2 linked regions of the Elephas maximus indicus genome follow. The protein of the gene in region 1 purifies or fractionates together with the protein of each later gene. This does not show direct contact. Links are inferred from orthologs where the notes say so. Each region holds a gene or a part of one and is shown in the gene's direction. Other genes may lie near its edges.

Region 1 (8,750 bases):
GCACTGCTTGGTGGGTTCGAACCACCAACCTTCAGGTTAGTATTTGAACACAAACTGTTTGTGCCGTCCAGGAACTCAAATGCCCAGTTATTTAATAAACAGATCATACTACATTAGAAACCAAAATGACCCCTGGTCAGAAGTTAACTAGGCACTGTTTCCCCAAGACCCTTGCTGGTTGAGGAAGATCTACCTATCATGAATCTATTTATGTTGACATGTGCATACTGTGGGTGCATATCTGCTTAATGGCCAGACAAAAATACAAGCTGAGTAAGAAGGTAAGAATAGCTCCCAAGGAGTTTAAATGCTAAAAGGAAAGTCATAGCAGGACCAGGAGGGAAAGGAGTGGGGACCCAGGAGCTGTCTGTCTCCAGGCTGGCCAGGAGGCTAAATCTGTCCCCTCCTTCCTCCACCTGGCCTCCATCTCCATTAACAGGCTCTGGAGACCAGACTCTAGACCAGGCCGGGCAACCCCTGCCAAACCCAGCGTCGCGGGGGCGATGCCTTTGGAAACTGTAGCAACTTCCATAGCAAATGGCTCCATCGCTCCACGGGTCCAGCCTAGAGGTCAAAGCCCCTGTCCGCTCTCTACCTCCAGAGGAGGACCTAGGTCCCACTTGGCTTCCCGCGGGGGGGTGGGTGGGGGGGAAGCGCACGGCTCCAGATTGGCACAGCCCTCGTGGGGCTCAGGGAGTGGGCGCCGGGCCGCGAGGAGTTTGTTGGTGACACGCTCGGTTCCGAACTTCCAATCCCACCGGCACCCCCTGACTTGGCCTCTGCCGGGTATTGCATCCCGAACCGTCCCTCGGAGGCTGGAGCAGAAAAGGCTGACAGGAGGGCTGCTCCTGCCCTAAGGGCTGCTACCGGCGCTGACGGCAGACCTGCATCTATCACCTCGCGGGCTCGACTCAGGCCCGCTCCCGGGCCCGGCTCCCGGTAGCTGGGGCCGGTCAGACTCTGGAGGGCCCCGTGTCATCCACTCCCCAGCTCGCGTCCGGTCTCCCGGTGCCCCATCCACGGCTGAGAAGCCTCAGCCCCAGCGGCCACCCTGCATTCCCGCGGGGCAGGTGGAGCACTCCCGTATCCCGGCTCGCGGCCCCGCGCTGCCTACCTGGTGCGGTCGGAGCCCGGGCCTTGGCGCCGAGTGGCCTGGCGCTGGCCGGGCTTCAGCTCCCGCCTTAACGCCGGCCGGCGGGCGGGAAGCTCGGGAGCGAGCGGCGGGCACGCGCTGGCGGACGGGAGGCAGAATGGCGGGCGCGCGGGTTATATCGGCGCGGCGAGGGGGCGCGGGCGGGGCGGCACGGCCTTAGCGCTGTTCGAGCCTGCGGGCGGGAAGGCGGCGCGGGCTCGGCCGCGCGGGAGGCGGGACAGGGCGGCGGCGGGTCCCCGGCCGAGGCTGTCTCCTCGCGCTCCGCCCTCGCAGCTGGCCTTTGCAGAGCGGGATCCGGCCTCAGGGGCGCCTCCTTCCCGCCCGTGTCTGGCGCGCACCGCCCAGCCGAGACTCAGCGGGGTCGTCTGCGCAAGTTGGACCTAGGTCGGGGCCTCCCTTAGGCTGGCCTGGGCGCGCGCGGGTGCCGTGGTGGGGCATAGACGCCGGCTCCGCGCCCTGACGCCCCAATAATCCTTCCTGGCCACCACTTGCGCCGACGCCCGAGCCTCCCGCACCGTCCCGACGGTCTTACTCCCGCCCCAGGCTCCCGGCCCCGCGGCGCGCAGGGAGTCTGGAAGGGAAGTGGGGGGAGGAGTGTCGTCCTTCGCCCCCAGCGCAGGATAGTGGCACCTCTGCCGGAGTCCGCACCGGGCACGCACGCGGCTCCGCCCGGCCCGGGGTGCGAGGCTGGGTCCCGGGGCCAGATGGGAGGCAAAGGAGAAGCTTGTGTCTGGGGGCACTAGCGGCCCTTGTTGGCTAAAGACTGCCACCACCCACTACAGCGCGCCGAGGTCACTCCGTTCCCTGGCCCTGCCGGGCATTGCGGATCCTGGGGGCTCTCGGTCGCGGCTCTCCCAGCCCCAGCCCGCGCGCTCTTCCCGGGCTAGGTTGAGCCACCAGAGAGTAGCCTCCCGCACCTTGCTCCCTCCCCAGGCCACCGCTTCCAGGCTTGGGAGGCTGGATTCTGCTCTGGGTTTGTGCGGCTGGGCGCGGGTGACCACGGCCCCATGTCCCCGTGCACTCGGAACGGACCCACCTTACGTGAGGCCGGGGAGCCCCTACGGCCGCCTACACTTGCGGCTCAGCTAGCGGGGCAGCGCCCCAGGGCAGGTGGGAGCTACCAAGGCCCCCGTCTTGATAAGCCTGGCCTGGGGAGGCACCCAAACACGCAGGACCAGTTCTGATCAGCTCTCGGCGGCGGAAATCCTGCGGTGCGCTGCCCTCTGGAACTTTTGGGCCCTGTTAGCGGGCTCCGAGCCTATGCCCCAGCCTGAGGTGACCGCCGCGCCCTGAAAGGTTGTGTCAATACCTCCCGTGACGTCTCGCGCGATCCCGGCTGGTGCAGACCTGGTTCTCCCGACGCTCCGGACGCCGCACCTCACCTGCCTGTCACGCCGATTTGGGCAGCTTCCGCACACCTTTATCGTGTACCTGCTTTACAGTTTGCTAGGCGCAGGGGGTGGGCCACAAAGACGGATCGCGCACCGGGATTTGGATCTGGTTGGGGACAGAAAAGGCCAGCAACGCCGAACAAGACCCACGCATCTAATCCCCCCATCCGTTCGTTAGGCGATGGTTGCGGGCTGTCCAAGGGGGAGGGGCAAGCCTGCGGCTAGGCCTGATGTGGACTACATCCAGATCTCGGTTCTCCCCGACTCAGGGTCGAGTGATGGGTGTTAGGGTCCGCGCGACCTGGTGGGCCGCGGAGGCGCCGTGGGAGCCCAGAGACTAACCTCCCGCGTGGGTGAGGGTGTGGGGGAGGATGGCTGCTCCGAGGAGTGCCCTCTTGGTGAAAGAGGGTCGGAGTTTCCGAGTGGGCCAGAGGACAAAGCAGCCCCGGGGAGCGAGGGCAAAGCTGGTGAAGCCAGGCTCTGGACCAAGTGTTCATTTCCCACCCGCGTAGAGAGAGGGCTGCGCGCGATCCGCAGGCGCGCTCTGCGGTGTCAGGGTGGAATTTGTTCCCTTCGAGATCCGAATAGGAGCAGAGTGTGAGATGAGGGTGACCCTGAAGATACGGTTTTGGCTAGATTCAGTCAAAAATAAATAGCACCTATTTATTATATATTACATACATAATAAACGTTGTTAGGTGCCGCCCAGTTGGTTCCGACTCATATCTGCCCTATGTATACAACAGAACTGAAACCCTGCCCCGTCCAGCCCCATCCTGGAAATCGTTGCAGCCACCCTGTCAATCCATCTTCTTCAGGGCCTTCCTCTTTTTCGCTGACCCTCTACCACGCATAAAGTCTCTCTCCAGGGACCGGTCTCTCCTGATAACATGTGCAAAGTATGTGAGACAAGTCTAGCCATCCTCACTTCTAAGGAGCATTGGCTGTACTTCTTCCAAGATAGATTGTTCGTTTTTCTGGCAGTCCATAGTATATTCAATATTCTTCCCCAACACCATCATTTCGAATGCATAAATTCTTCCATCTTCCTTATTCATTGTCCAGTTTTTACATGCATAGGAAGCAATTGAAAATACTGTGGCTTGGGTCAGGCGCGCATTAGTTCTTAAAGTGACATCTTTGTTTTTTCTAACGTTTTAAAGAGATCTTTTGCACCTGACTTGTGCAGTGCAATGTTTCCTTTGATTTCTTGACTGCTGCTTCCATGGGCCTTGATTGCAGACCCAAGAAAAATGAAATCCTTAACAACTTCAGTCTTTTCTCTGTTTATCATGATGTTGCTTATTGGTCCAGTTCTGAGGATTTTTGTTTTCTTTATGTTGAGGTGTAACCCATGCTGAAGGCTTTAGTCTTTGGTCTTCATCAGTAAGTGCTTCAAGTCTTCTTTGTTTTCAGCAAGCAGGGTTGTATCATCTGCATAGAACAGGTTGTTAATGAGTTTTCCTCCAATCTTGATGCTGTGTTCTTCTCATATAGTCCAGTTTCTTGGATTATTTGCTCAGCATACAGATTAAATAAATATGATGAAATGATACATCACTGACACCTTCCCTAATTTTAAAGCATTCAGTATCTCTTTGTTCTGTTCCAACAACTGCCTTTTGGTCTATGTACACAAGTTCCTTGTGAACACAATGAAGTGTCTGGAATTCGCCTTCTTCACAATGTTATCCATAATTTATTATGATCCACACAGACAACTGCCTCTGCATAGTCAATAAAACACAGGTAAACATCTTTCTGGTTCTCTGCTTTCAGCCAATATCCATCTGACATCAGCAATGATATTCCTAGTCTTCTTCTGAATCCAGCTTGAATTTCTGGTAGTTCCCTGTCAGTGAACTGCTGCAACGTAATAAATATATTACCATGCTTGGTGAAGTAGAGGGTCAGCAAAAAAGGAGGAAGACCCTCAACAGGATGGATTGTGGCAGTGGCTGCAACAACGGGTTCAAACACAACACTCACTTGATGGCAAGGAGCTTGGGTATACTTATATGCACATGTATATGCAGGACAGCCAGTTAAATATGAATTTCAGATAAATGAGTAATTCTCCCATGCAATATTTTGGAACATACTTATACTATAAAATTATTCTTTGTTTACTTGAAATTCAGTCTAACTGGGAGTCCTGCATTTTATCTGCCATTCCCAGCTGTAGAGGACGCCCTGAGACCACCATCCCTTGGGGTAAGCAAACCAAACCAACCCTGTTGCCGTGCAGTCAATGCCGACTCACAGCAACCCTATAGGACAGAGTAGAACCGCGCCATACAGTTTCCAAGGAGTGCCCAGTGGATTCGAACTGCTGACCTCTTGGTTAGCAGCTGTAGCACGTAACCACTAGGCCACCAAGGTGTCCTCCTTTGGGGTAAACCCAAACCAATCAACCCATTGCTGTCGAGTCGATTGCCGTCGAGTCGATGGTAGGGCTCGGAAATTCCGGGCGGGGAGAAGTGTGGACTGGCTCCTTTAAGGCGCAGCGCGCGGAGCTGCAGTGAACTATAAGTCCCACAATGCCGTGCGGCCATCCGGGGCCCTGATAGGCTGTGCTCGCTTCCCGCCTTCCCCGGGTTTCCGGCTGTGGAGTCCGGCGGGCCGCGGTTGGGAACCGCAGCGGCTACGGTGGGCGGCCTGGCGGAGGCTGACCCTGAGAGTCAGACCCGGACCTGGGCGGGCCGGCGGGCTTCCTGGCTTGCGGGTGCGGGTCCAGCCTGGGCACGGCCTCGGTCCGCCGGCCTCTCTCCAGCAGAGGCGGCCTCGTCGCCGGGGGCTGCTGAGGCGGGACCCCGGCCCTTGGGCCCTCGGGGCGGCGGCTGCCATGAACTTTTCCGAGGTCTTTAAGCTGTCCGGCCTGCTCAGCAAGTTCTCCCCGGACGGAAAGTACCTGGTGAGAGCCAGGGCCCCTTGCCCGGGAGGTCCGTCCAGGGCAACGCCAAAATGGGCGCTAAGGGGTGAGGGGGAGGTGGGGCGCGATGGCGGGCGCCACTCTCAACTGTTGTGACTTGCTGGGGCGGCGCCGTTGGCCGGGGTGGAGGTAGACTCTGGGCTCTGAATGCGGATCGAGCCCGGCGCCCCCCACCTGCTTCGTGAAAGGCGGGGAGAAGCGGTGCCTGCCTCGGGGGGACTTTGCTGGGGGCTGGCGGCCAGTGTAGCGTGTAGGGCAGTAGCACGTTGCTAGTTTGTCAGAGAAAGGCAAATGCATACTAACTGCGTTGGCTTGTAAGCTGGTAAGTGGTGCGGCTACTTTCTGTTGTCTTTTCCAATAATTTAAACTATTACCATTCTATCCTAGAAGCTCTGCTTAAGCGCGGAGCTGCTAATAGATTGGCAGTCGGAACTAGGGCTTTGAACTAGTTCTGCCCGAGTTATTTAAATTATTATTAAATTATTAAAATTGAGGTGAAGCGGAACCCTAGGATTAAAAAAAAAAAAAAAAAAAAAAAGGATAGAACAGAAGAAATTACAGGTCGAGGCCCTGGAATGGGACTCAGAAGAGGCGAAGTGACCCCTTTCAGGAGACTGGTGTGTGAGATTGGATGATTGGTAGAATTGTGGAGTTGGACCCACCTTCAGAGTGGCACCTCGCTGCCGTCTTGCAGCAGCCTGCCATCTGCTGTTTCTTGGACTCTGCAGGGCTATGCAGGTTTGGTTGCTATGCAATGCTAGGTTGCCCTTGTTTTCTAAGAGAGAGATTGAAGTTTCTAGCAGGGCTTCACCCATAACCTTTCCCGTTCTGCTTCACCCACATTTAAAAAATCCAGGTCCTTTTGGGTTTCCCTTCCGTGGTTGGCCATGACTGAACTGGGGAGAACAGGTTCGAAGATCTGGTTCAAACACGTACAGTGGTTCTGCAGGAGAAAGACCTGGCTAAAAAAAAAAAAAAAAGATTGCATCCTAGGAAACCTTATGGAGCACTTCTACACTGTGACACGGGGTCGCTGCGAGTCAGAAATCCACTAGATGGCAAGTAAGGACAATAACAAAAGCCTTCTATCCCTAGATGAAAATAGTTGTCAGAGATGTTCATTCTGTGGGTGCTTAAATCATCAAGCTTTTCTGAACATGAAACTTAACGTTGCAAAATGTGCCATTTTGACTGCTGTGTATCTTCAGGGTCATGGGAGGGCGGTGTAATTGTCATTGAAAAGCCATTAAGAAAAAAAATGCCTTTTAGACCATTTATTTAGCTTCATTTACACCATTCTCTATTAATAGACAGTGGTTCACGACTCTACGTTTGAGCCTTGATTAACGTTCCTATTGCTCTGGTCTAGGTCTTTGAGAATGTAACTCTCAAGTTGCGTATTTACCTTCATTGTAGAGGTATTGTAAATTATATAAAATGGCATTCAGCTACAAAATAAAAAACGTAATTGGCTTAAAGGACACCACAGAAACCTTGATATATTTTTCAAAGTGCCCACCTATAAATTCGTTTCTTTTTAAATACCATTTATGGAAATTCCAATAAATTATAAAGTGACAGGTGATGCTTGCGTGCTTAAATTTGGCACTTTTTTCGCTTTTACACCCTGATCAAAAACTGGATAATAATCTGATACTAGAATCATGTTCTTGAAAGCTCTGGCCTAAATACGAGATAAAGCATTGTTGTTGGGTGCTGTCAAGTTGGTTCTGACTCGTAGCAGCCCTGTGCACAACAGAATGAAACACTGCCTGATCCTGCGCCATCCTCACAATCGTTGTTATGCTTGAGCCCGTCATTGCAGCCACCATGTCAATCCATCTTGTTGAGGGTCTTCCTCTTTTTTGCTCACCCTCTACTTTACCAAGCATGACGTCCTTCTCCAGGGACTGATCCTTCCTGATAACATGTCCAAAGTATGTGAGACGAGGTCTCGCCATCCTTACTTCTAAGGAGCATTCACATTGTACTTCCTCCAAGACAGATTTGTTCATTCTTTTGGCAGTCCATGGTATATTTAATAATCTTCGTCAACACCATAATTCAAAGGCATCAATTCTTCTTTCTTCCTTATTCACTGCCCAGCTTTTGCATATATATGAGACGATTGAAAACACCATGGCTTGGGTAAGGCATACCTTAGTCTTCAAGGTGATAGCTTTATTTTTTAACACTTTAAAGAGGTCTCTTGCAGCAGATTTACCCAATATGATGCATCGTTTGATTTCTCGACTGCTGCTTCCGTGGTTATTGATTGAGGAGCCAAGTAAATGAAGCCCTTGACAACTTCAGTTTTTTCTCCCTTTGTCATGATGTTGCTTATTGGTCCAGTTGTGAGGATTTTTGTTTCCTTTATGTTGAGGTGTAATCCATACTGGAGGCTGTAGTCAAGTGCTTGAAGTCCCCTTGTATGTCAGCAAGCAAGGTTTTGCTGAAATCTTTAATCCACATGGTACCTCCTTCTTCTATTTGAATGACTGCGTCTTGATCTATGTGTGGGTTCCTCATGAGCACCATTAAGTGTTCTGGAATTCCTGTTCTTTCTAGTGTGATCCATAATTCGTTATGGTCCATACAGTCGAATGACTTTGCATAGTTAATAAAACATGGGTAAACATCTTTCTGGTTGTTCTCTGCTTTCAGCCAGGATCCATCTGACATCAGCAATGATATTCCTCATTCCACGTCCTCTTCTGAATCTGACTTGAATTTCTGGCAGTTCCCTGTTGATGTACTGCTGCAACTGCTTTTGAATGATCTTCAGCAAAATTTTACTGACATCATCGCTGATGTCAGATGGATCCTGGCTAAAAGCAGAGAATACCAGAAAGGTGTTTACCTGTGTTTTATTGTCCATGCAAAGGCATTTGACTATGTGGATCATAGCAAATTATGGATAACATTGGGAAGAATGGGAATTGCAGCACACTTGACTTTGCTTGTGAGGAACCTATACATAGATCAAGAGGCAGTTGTTCGAGCAGAACAAGGGGATGCTGGGTGGATTAAAGTCAGGAAAGGTATGTATCAGGGTTGTATCCTTTCACCATACTTATTGAGCTTGTTAAAAAAAAAAAAAACTGTTGCCGTCGAGTCGATTCCGACTCGTAGTGACCCTACAGGTCAGAATAGAACTGCTCCATAGAGTTTCCAAGGAGCATCTGGTGGATTTGAACTGCCAGCCTCTGGTTAGCAGACATAGCTCTTAACCACTATGCCACCAGGGTTTCCAATTGAGTCTGTGTCCTATGCA
Region 2 (8,350 bases), about 92 Mb from region 1:
AGAAGAAACAGCCAGTGCAAAGGCCCTGAGGCAGGAATGTGCCTGGCAAAAGAGAGGAACAGTGAGATGGCTAGTTGTTAGTCAAGTCAGTAAGGGAGAAAGTAGTAGAACATGAGGTCAAAGAGGTAAGGAGGTTGAGGGCAGATCATAAAAACCATGTAGCCATGGTAAGAATTTGGGCTTTAACCGTGAGTGAGGGAAGCCAAAGCAGAGAAGTGATATGATCTGATTTGTTTTAAAATTACTGTTATGTAATGGAATACTATGCAATGATAAAGAACAATGATGAATCTGCTGCGAAGCATCTCACAACATGGATGAACTGGGAGGGCATTATGTTAAGTGAAATAAGTTGGTCACAAAAGGACAAATACTGTATAAGACCACTATTATAACCACTATTATAAAAACTCATGAAAAGGCTTACACACAGAAAGAAACAAATCTTTGATGGGTACAAGGGAGGGGATGGGGATGGAAAAACACTAAATAGACAATAGATAACTGGTAACTCTGGTGAAGGACAAGACAGTACACAATACTGGGGAAGCCAACACAACCTGTCCAAGGCAAGGTCATGGAAGCTCCATTAAAAAAAAAAAACAAAAAACCATTGCCATCGATTCTGACTCATAGCAACCCTATAAGACAGAGTAGAACTGCCCCACAGGGTTTCCAAGGAGCGCCTGGTGGATTCCAACTGCCGACCTTTTGGTTAGCAGCCATAGCTCTTAACCACTACACCACCAGGGTTTCCAGGAAGCTCCATAGATACATTCAAACTCCCTGAGTGATCAGATTACTGGGCTGAGGGCTGTGGGGACCATGGTCTCGAGGAACATCTAGCTAAAGTGGCATAGCATAGTTTGTAAAGAAAATGTTCTTACATTCCACTTTAGAGAGTAGCGTCTGGGGTCTTAAAGCTTGTGAGCAGCCATCTAAAATACTCCACGGGTCCCAGCCTGTCCAGAGCAGAGGAGAATGAAGAAAACCAAAGACATAAGGGAAAGATTAGTCCAAATGATTGATGGACCACAAGTACCACAGGCTCCATCAGACTGAGTCCAGCACAACTAGGTGGTGCCTGGCTACCACCATTGACTGCTCTGACAGGGATCACAATAGAGGATCCTGGGGAGAGCTGCAGAAAAATGTAGAACAAAATTCTAACTCACACACACACACAAAAAGATCAGACTTACTGGTATGAGACTGAAGAAACCCTGAGAGCATGGCCCCCGGACACTCTTTTAGCTCAGCACTGAAGTCACTCCTGATGTTCACCCTTCAGCCAAAGATTAGACAGGCCCATAAAACAAAATGAGTCTAAAGGGACATAACAGCCCAGGGGCAAGGACTAGGAGGCAGGAGGGGACAGGAAAGCTAATAAGGGACCCAAGTTCGAGAAGGGGAGAGTGTTGAGATGCTGTGAGGTTGCTAACCAATGTCACATATGTGTACTAATTGTTTAATGAGAAGCTAGTTTGTCCTGTAAAACTTCATTTAAAGTACAATAAAAAAAAATAAAAATAATATAAAATTACTGTTATGGATTAAATTGTGTCCCCTCAAAAATACGTGTGGTAAATCCTAACCTCTATAAAAAAAAAACAAAAAACACCTCTATACCAGTGGTTATAATCCCATTTGAGAACTGGTTGTCTTTGTTACGTTAATGAGGCAGGATTAGTGTAGGGTATGTTTTGTGCCAATCTCTTAAAAACATAAAAGGATTAAGATCAAGGAAAGAGAGATGGGGGAAAAAGGGATGTCAAGCCACACGTAGATCACCCAGGAGCAGAAGTTCAAAGAGACAAAGACCTTCCTCCAGAGCCCAGAGAGACACAAAGGCTTCCCCTAGAGCTGGCATTCTGAATTCAGACTTCTAGCCTCCTAAATTGTGAGAAACTAAATTTCTGTTTGTTAAAGCCACCTATTTATGGTATTTGTTACAGGCACGCTACATAACTAAGAGTTACGTTGCACACTGTGATATGATGAGAATAGACTTTAGAGGAGCAAGGCTGGAAGTTTTCATGTGTTTTGAAAAAAACAACACTTCATAGCCACACCTTCCTACTTTTGCTAAAAGTGAGGAAAGCAGCAAAAGAAGGCATTTGTTTCTAGATTGTATCTTGCCCCTTTATCTTTCCTTACCACAGCAAAGTTCTATCAAGTCGAGTTTCTTTTAGTCCAAAGCGTCTTTTGACTATTTTCAGGCCACAGCAAAATTATTTCTTATCCTTTGGTATTATAATAAAATCCACTCTATCAGTCAGGATCTTCGTGGCTGCAAGTAACTGTATGACCCAAAGCGGCTTAAGCAATAGATCATTTACTCTCTCACATAATGAGCAGTCTGGAGGTATGCAGACAAGGGTACTTTATTCAGCCATCCAGTGATGTCTGGGGTCTTGGTTGCCTTTTGTTTTTCCTGTTTTCCTCTCATCCTTGCAGGATGCCTTCATAGCTCCAAACCTCCTGCTCAATGGAGACTAGGCAAGGCCAAGAACTAAGTGAAAGACTTCACTTTATGGCTCTCAGGGATAATACCCTTTTCCTGAATCTCCCCACCCTCACTTCTCACTCCCCATTATGTACTGACCACAACTGAGTCACATGCTCAGCTCCTAAACCTAAACCAAAAAAAATTTTTTTTCAAATAGAGAGAGACAAAGTATCAAGACAGGTTTAGATTAGTGGTTCTCAAAGCGTGGTTTAAGGAACCATGGGGGGTCCCCAAAACATTTTCAGGGAGTCTGTGAGGTCAAAACTAGTTTTCTTACAATACCAAAAAAAAAAAAAGTTGCCATGGAGTCGATTCCGACTCACGGCAACTTCCTGTGTGTTGGACTAGACCTGTGCTCCAGAAGGTTTTCAATGGCTCATTTTTTGGAAGTAGATCACGAGGCCTTTCTTCCCAGGTGCCCCTGGGTGGACTCAAACCATTAACCTTTTGGTTGGCAGCTGAGTATTTATGAATACACTAAGACATTATTTGCCGTTCTTATTCTCATTCTCTCCGGAGTGTACAGCAGAGTTTTCCAGAGGCTACCTGAAATAATGCCATGGAGTGCATGTGGGAGCAGATGAGAATCCAGATGCGTTCTATTTAGCCAGGCATTAAAGATATTTGCAAATATTTAAATACTACTCTCATTACTAATTTTTTTGGAAAAGTTATTTTTAATAAAATTTGCTATTTGTTAGTAAGTTTGTTACTCTCGTTATTTTAAATATTGTAAAATTTCTCAGTTGTAATTTCAGTAGCTATATCCCACATAAGCAAAAGTTCTTCGGAGGTCCTCAATAATTTTAAGGGATACTGAAACCAAAAGTTTGAGAACCCCTGGTTTATTCAGACAGATCTTCATCCCTAGGGCTGGGAGGAAGCTAATCTTTCTGGGGTTCACCTGAACTGCCCCAAACCTTCTTAAAATCTGACTCTGTTAGTGGGTAAGTCACAAAGCAGGTGTGTGTGTCAGATGCTGCTTATTGAATTAATAGATCTCAATTCTTCTAGCTAGGGAGATCTTGACTGAAGCCCCTGGGAGGTGAAATGGTCAAAATGAAACCTTAAGTGCTATTTCAAAGATGGGAAAGGGGTGGGTTCTTCTGGGGTGGACAGTTGAAATTGCAAAACTCTTCTTGGGAGCAGAGGTAACCCCTCCCTCCCATCAGTGCTCTAGGTTAAGGAGCAAGGTAATAATTTTCTCTCCGCTCGCCCTCCCCACAAGCTCTGTGTAAACCGTCCTTAAGAGTAATGAACTCTCCACCGGCTAATCTGCTATCATTCACAACGCTCAACATCATCTACCCTAGCTGCCTGATCGCTTAGGTCAAAGGCAAAGAGGATTTCTTTGGGCCTTGAAGTTGTCACCGAGGTGTGCTCGTCTCTTGCCTTGCCCTTTCCTCCAGGATTAGGGATATGCAGATACCCTCTTCTAGCCTCAGTTCTTTCGTGTTTCTTGTTCTTGTCTTATACTATTTTGGTTTCAAAGTGCTCTCAAGAGCCTCCTTAAAATACAAAACCTATTTTTTCCCCTCTAGATAAAAACCTTTTGGTTTCACTAAAAAAAAAAAAAATCCATAGAAGTGTATCTTTGTATTTTTTACTCAACCTCTTATGCCTGCGATTTCCCCATGTGATCTCTTCTTTCTCCTGCCTTTTTCCTTCCCTGGAGAATTTTAGGCTCCATCGACTCGACGGCAGTGGGTTTGGTTTTTTTTTATGGAACGGAGGAGGGGCCGACTCGACTCTGCCAACGAGCGCAGCAGTCATATATTTTCTTTGCACATATTTTGCTGAGTGGGTGGGACGTTTTGCATAAACTTCTAGTTCAAGAGTGCCATTTCTTACATTCTTCTCTTTGCGCGCTGTCTTCCGCTTTGGTCAATTTCTTGGGCCTAATTTTACACATAACTTTCTCGCTTTTAGGTTGTTTGCATCCATGATTCCCGACGCTTAAACCTTCCTTCCCTTGGGCCGGACCTAATTTTGGGTGCCGGCTGTTGTTTGGTTTAGTTTTTCACTTTTGCAAACTCACGTGGCGCTTCTGGAAGCTTGCATTTTTGCTTCTAGGATGGGTGCTGGGGTTCACTCGGGCTCCGAAAGCGTGCTTTCAAGCAGCCACGGCCTCTTCCCCCACAGAGCCCCTGGCCCCGAGCTGGGGGCGGGGAACAGGGACGGCCGGGTGAATCCCAGGGCGTAACAGGTGCCGCAGCCGCAGCTGCGCCCGCATCCTGCGCCGGCTCTAGGGATAAGGTTTTCTTTTTCTCTGGGTTTTTTTGGAGGTGGGGAGGAGACTCCGGAGGCCCCCACCGGACCAATGCAAGCCGCGGTTGTTCATCGCCTAGCAACTGGCGGAGCCAATGGGAGGCAGCTCGGCCTGCGGCGACGGCGGCAAGGGGGCGGGGTGGGAACCTTGCAAACCTGCCGAGGCCGGGAGGCGGCCGCGAGGGGCGGAGCGGAGCGGCCCAGGGGCGGGGAAGGCGGGAGCCCGAGGCGGAGGAGGGGCGCCAGCCCAAGGCGGTGCGTCCCGAGGCGGCTGTTCTGGCCCTCGGGGCTGTGGGAGCCGGCCTAGGACGCCGAGCGGCGACTCCCCGCCGCTCCCGGGGGCCGTGACGGTGAGCAGCCTATGGCCTCTGCTCCGCGGCGGGGATTGTGACGCGCCGGCCCGAAAAGGGGCGGGCGGCGCCGGCGGGGCGGGGGGCGGGCGGGTGCGGCGCGGAGGTGAGAGCCGGCACCTGGCTCGGCGCCCCGCGGCTCCGCGAGAGGCTCCGTGCGGCCGTTGGTGCCGTTGGAGGGTGCGAGTGAGCGTTGCCCAGCCGCGCCTGGCGGAGGAGGTGGGAGGTAGGTAGCGGCTCCCGCTGGTGATCGCAGCGCTGCGCTCTCAGGAGGGCTCCGGCCCGGGGCGCGGCCAGGGAGTCCAAAACCCTCTCCGAGATGGAAAAAGGGTGGCGCCTGGAGTGGGATGACGAACGGCGCGGAGACGTGGGGGGAGGAGGGGATGGTTGATTTGGGGCTACAGTGCCTGCTTACTAGAGGCTGTGGGCAATGCGGGGCTAGGGATTTGTTAATGGGAGCCGCAGTAGGCAGTCGTTAAAGTGAGTTACTGGATGGTCCGTGGCTATTGCAGGGGAAGAGAACCCCGAACCCTGATAATGGTCTACTTAAAAGTCTGGGGGAAGAACTTACATCATCTGTCTGCAGGCATGGGGGAAAACATTTTGATGTAGAATTTTGTAGTAAAGTACAGTAAACCGGATTGTAAGCTCTCTGCACCTTTTTGAGCCTAGCTTATCGCTCGGTTATGCAAGTCACTTGGGCCCAAGAAATGGAATCTGCTACATGATTTTGTCTCAGTGTGTGTAATAAGGGCATCTTTAGATTACTACGTTTTAAGGATTGTGAATGCTAAGGTGTAATTTCTAAGAGTGATAATACAGTTCTTGTTAAATCTGGGAAAATTGAGGTTTCCCTTTTTTGGACCCCATAACGGGTTCAGGATGAGAAGAATCGTTCCTCAAAGGGTGGTTTAGAAGTGCAAGGGTGGGGGCTTCCCAAACAATTTCGATTAGGGTCTAGGCCTGGAGTTGGCCGTGAATGATGCATGCAGTGGAGCCCTTCATGGTTCAAGAGGGATTGGTATACTGTTGAGATAGATAGAAGAAAATTTTGGCAGCTTTATAATTTGATTCCGATCTGGAAAGGAAGGTATGACTTGACACATTTAGGAAACTGAATAAAATTTGAGAAGAATTAGAGATCTGGAGAGAAAAAAAACAAATGCCTTTAGAGTTTGCTTACCAAAACCAAAAACCAATCCGGCTGCCGTTGAGTCAGTTCTGACTCATAGTGACCCTATAGAGTTAGCTTAGGCCAACCCAAACCCATCAAACCCGCTGCTGTCAGTGGATTCCAACTCACAGCTACCCTATAGGACGGAGTAGAGCTGCCCCATAGGGTTTCCAAGGCTGTAAATCTTTGGAGAAGCAGACTGCCGCATCTTTCTACCATGGAGCAGCTGGTGGATTGAAACCACTGACCTTTTGGTTAGCAGTGGAGTGCTTTAACCACTGTGCCACCAGGGCTGCAGAAGAAGTTAAGAGGTAGATTTATGAACTTGGATTCAGCCAACAAAACAGTCCATCAAATCTCTTGTGCTAGAGCAGACATAATGTACATCCTAGGAAGCTTAGGTTATTCATTCAAACTAAAATAAGAAAAGCTGGTAACTAATTTGACACTCTTCTTCCTGTTGTCTATAAGTTTCTCAAACAAAATAGTTCTTTGAGAAGAAAGTTAGAAACTGGTAGTTAAAATGAAGGCTCTTCAGTGACTTGCTGGGCATCTTGAGCCAAGTCATTTTATACCCTTCCTTCCCTTTTCTTTCCCCATCTGTACAATGAAGATAATAAAACCTGGGATTAAGTAACATGAGTAAAGCTGCTTGAAGGTAACTGCAGAGACTTAGATATTCCGGGACGAACTATGAAGATCTCTTTGTAACACGGTTGCACCTTGTGACAAGACTTGTTAAAGCACGTTATGTTCCAAACATGCTGAGGGTGTATATTAGAAAAATAGAATGTTAACTGTTCAGGTGATTTGCCAAAGGCCTCAAGGCCAGCACAAAGTCAGGATTATATACTGCGCCTTCCTAAAACCTGACAGAGCCTGCTCTTTGGCCAAAACTAGTATGACATGGGTTTTATAAAAGTAGAGAGTTGAGTACCTTCTATGTAGTATGCATCTAGGGGTAAAAGGATGAAAAAGACATTGTCCCAGAATAGCGTGGTTGGAATTCATTTCACATACTTAAAGTGGAGCAGTTCCAAAGCTTTTTGTGATTTTTTTCTGTATCTTTCACAATAGTTGTAAATTTGCCTATAAACCCGTTGCGGTCGAGTCGATTACAACTCGTAGCGAGCCCATAGGACAGAGCAGAACTGCTCCATAGAGTTTCCACGGAGCGCCTTGTGGATTCGAACTGCCGACCTTTTGGTTAGCAGCCGTAGTTCTTAACCACTACACCACCAGGGTTTCCACTGTGCCAGTAGGGTTTCCAAAATATTGGTTAGATTGTTTGCTCGTGGCACAAAAAGTTTTTTATACTCTTTGAATATGTTCTGTGGCTTTGGAGATCATGATTTGCTGGTAATGAAGGTGCAAGTTACCTTGAATTCAGGAACTTATGGAATAAGATAGAATTTAGAGAAGTGAACCATTCATTACAGCTAATGGAAAACAATCTAAAATTTTATTTTGATAGTGGGCCAGTATTACTATTTTATATAATACCAGATTTATTAAATTACACTTTACTGAGTTATTCTCAGTGAACATTTGCTGAACATGTAATTAAGCTGCTGCTTGCTAGATCTGAGGATAAAAAGATGAATGTTATCTTGTAAATTTAGGAAATTTACAGCATAATAAGGGAGAGAGCAAACATGAAAAATAGTTCAAATTCTCTTTCTTTTTCTAAAGCCTTCCCATATGGCATCCATGTCTTGACAGGGAGGAGGGGGAGTTCTTAGAGCATTTACAGTTGGAGCATTACAGGTGGTTTGGTGGTAGAGTTGGAGCAGAGTTCGATGGGCTAGTGATAAGGTTGGAGAACAGGACTGTGAACTTTGACTGGGAAGTGATAGGGAACCGTGGAAAGGTTTTATTCGGGGGAATAATAATTGATTTTTATTTTAGGTAGGAGTCTCTGGGTAGTGCAAATGATTTGCACTCGGTTACCAACTGAAAGGTTGGCAAGATGAATCCACCCAGAGGCACCCTGTAGGAAAGGCCTGGCAGTCTACTTCCAAAAGTTCATAGCTATTGAAAACCCTATGG

Evidence for each region.
Region 2: the proteins of WRAP73 (region 1) and SSX2IP purify together in Homo sapiens (co-immunoprecipitation; 4 studies listed by BioGRID and IntAct, counting the BioPlex papers as one, with this or other methods). This does not show direct contact. The link is inferred for Elephas maximus indicus from reciprocal best matches to the Homo sapiens genes WRAP73 and SSX2IP.

The regions. Positions count from the first base shown.
Region 1 is NC_064821.1:42,309,274-42,318,023, reverse strand, and holds the start of WRAP73 (WD repeat-containing protein WRAP73), read left to right. Parts: upstream 1-5,145; 5' UTR 5,146-5,389; coding exon 5,390-5,458; intron 5,459-8,750.
Region 2 is NC_064821.1:134,037,672-134,046,021, reverse strand, and holds the start of SSX2IP (afadin- and alpha-actinin-binding protein), read left to right. Parts: upstream 1-4,977; 5' UTR 4,978-5,127; exon of another isoform or gene 5,128-5,353; intron 5,354-8,350. UniProt on the Homo sapiens protein: Belongs to an adhesion system, which plays a role in the organization of homotypic, interneuronal and heterotypic cell-cell adherens junctions (AJs).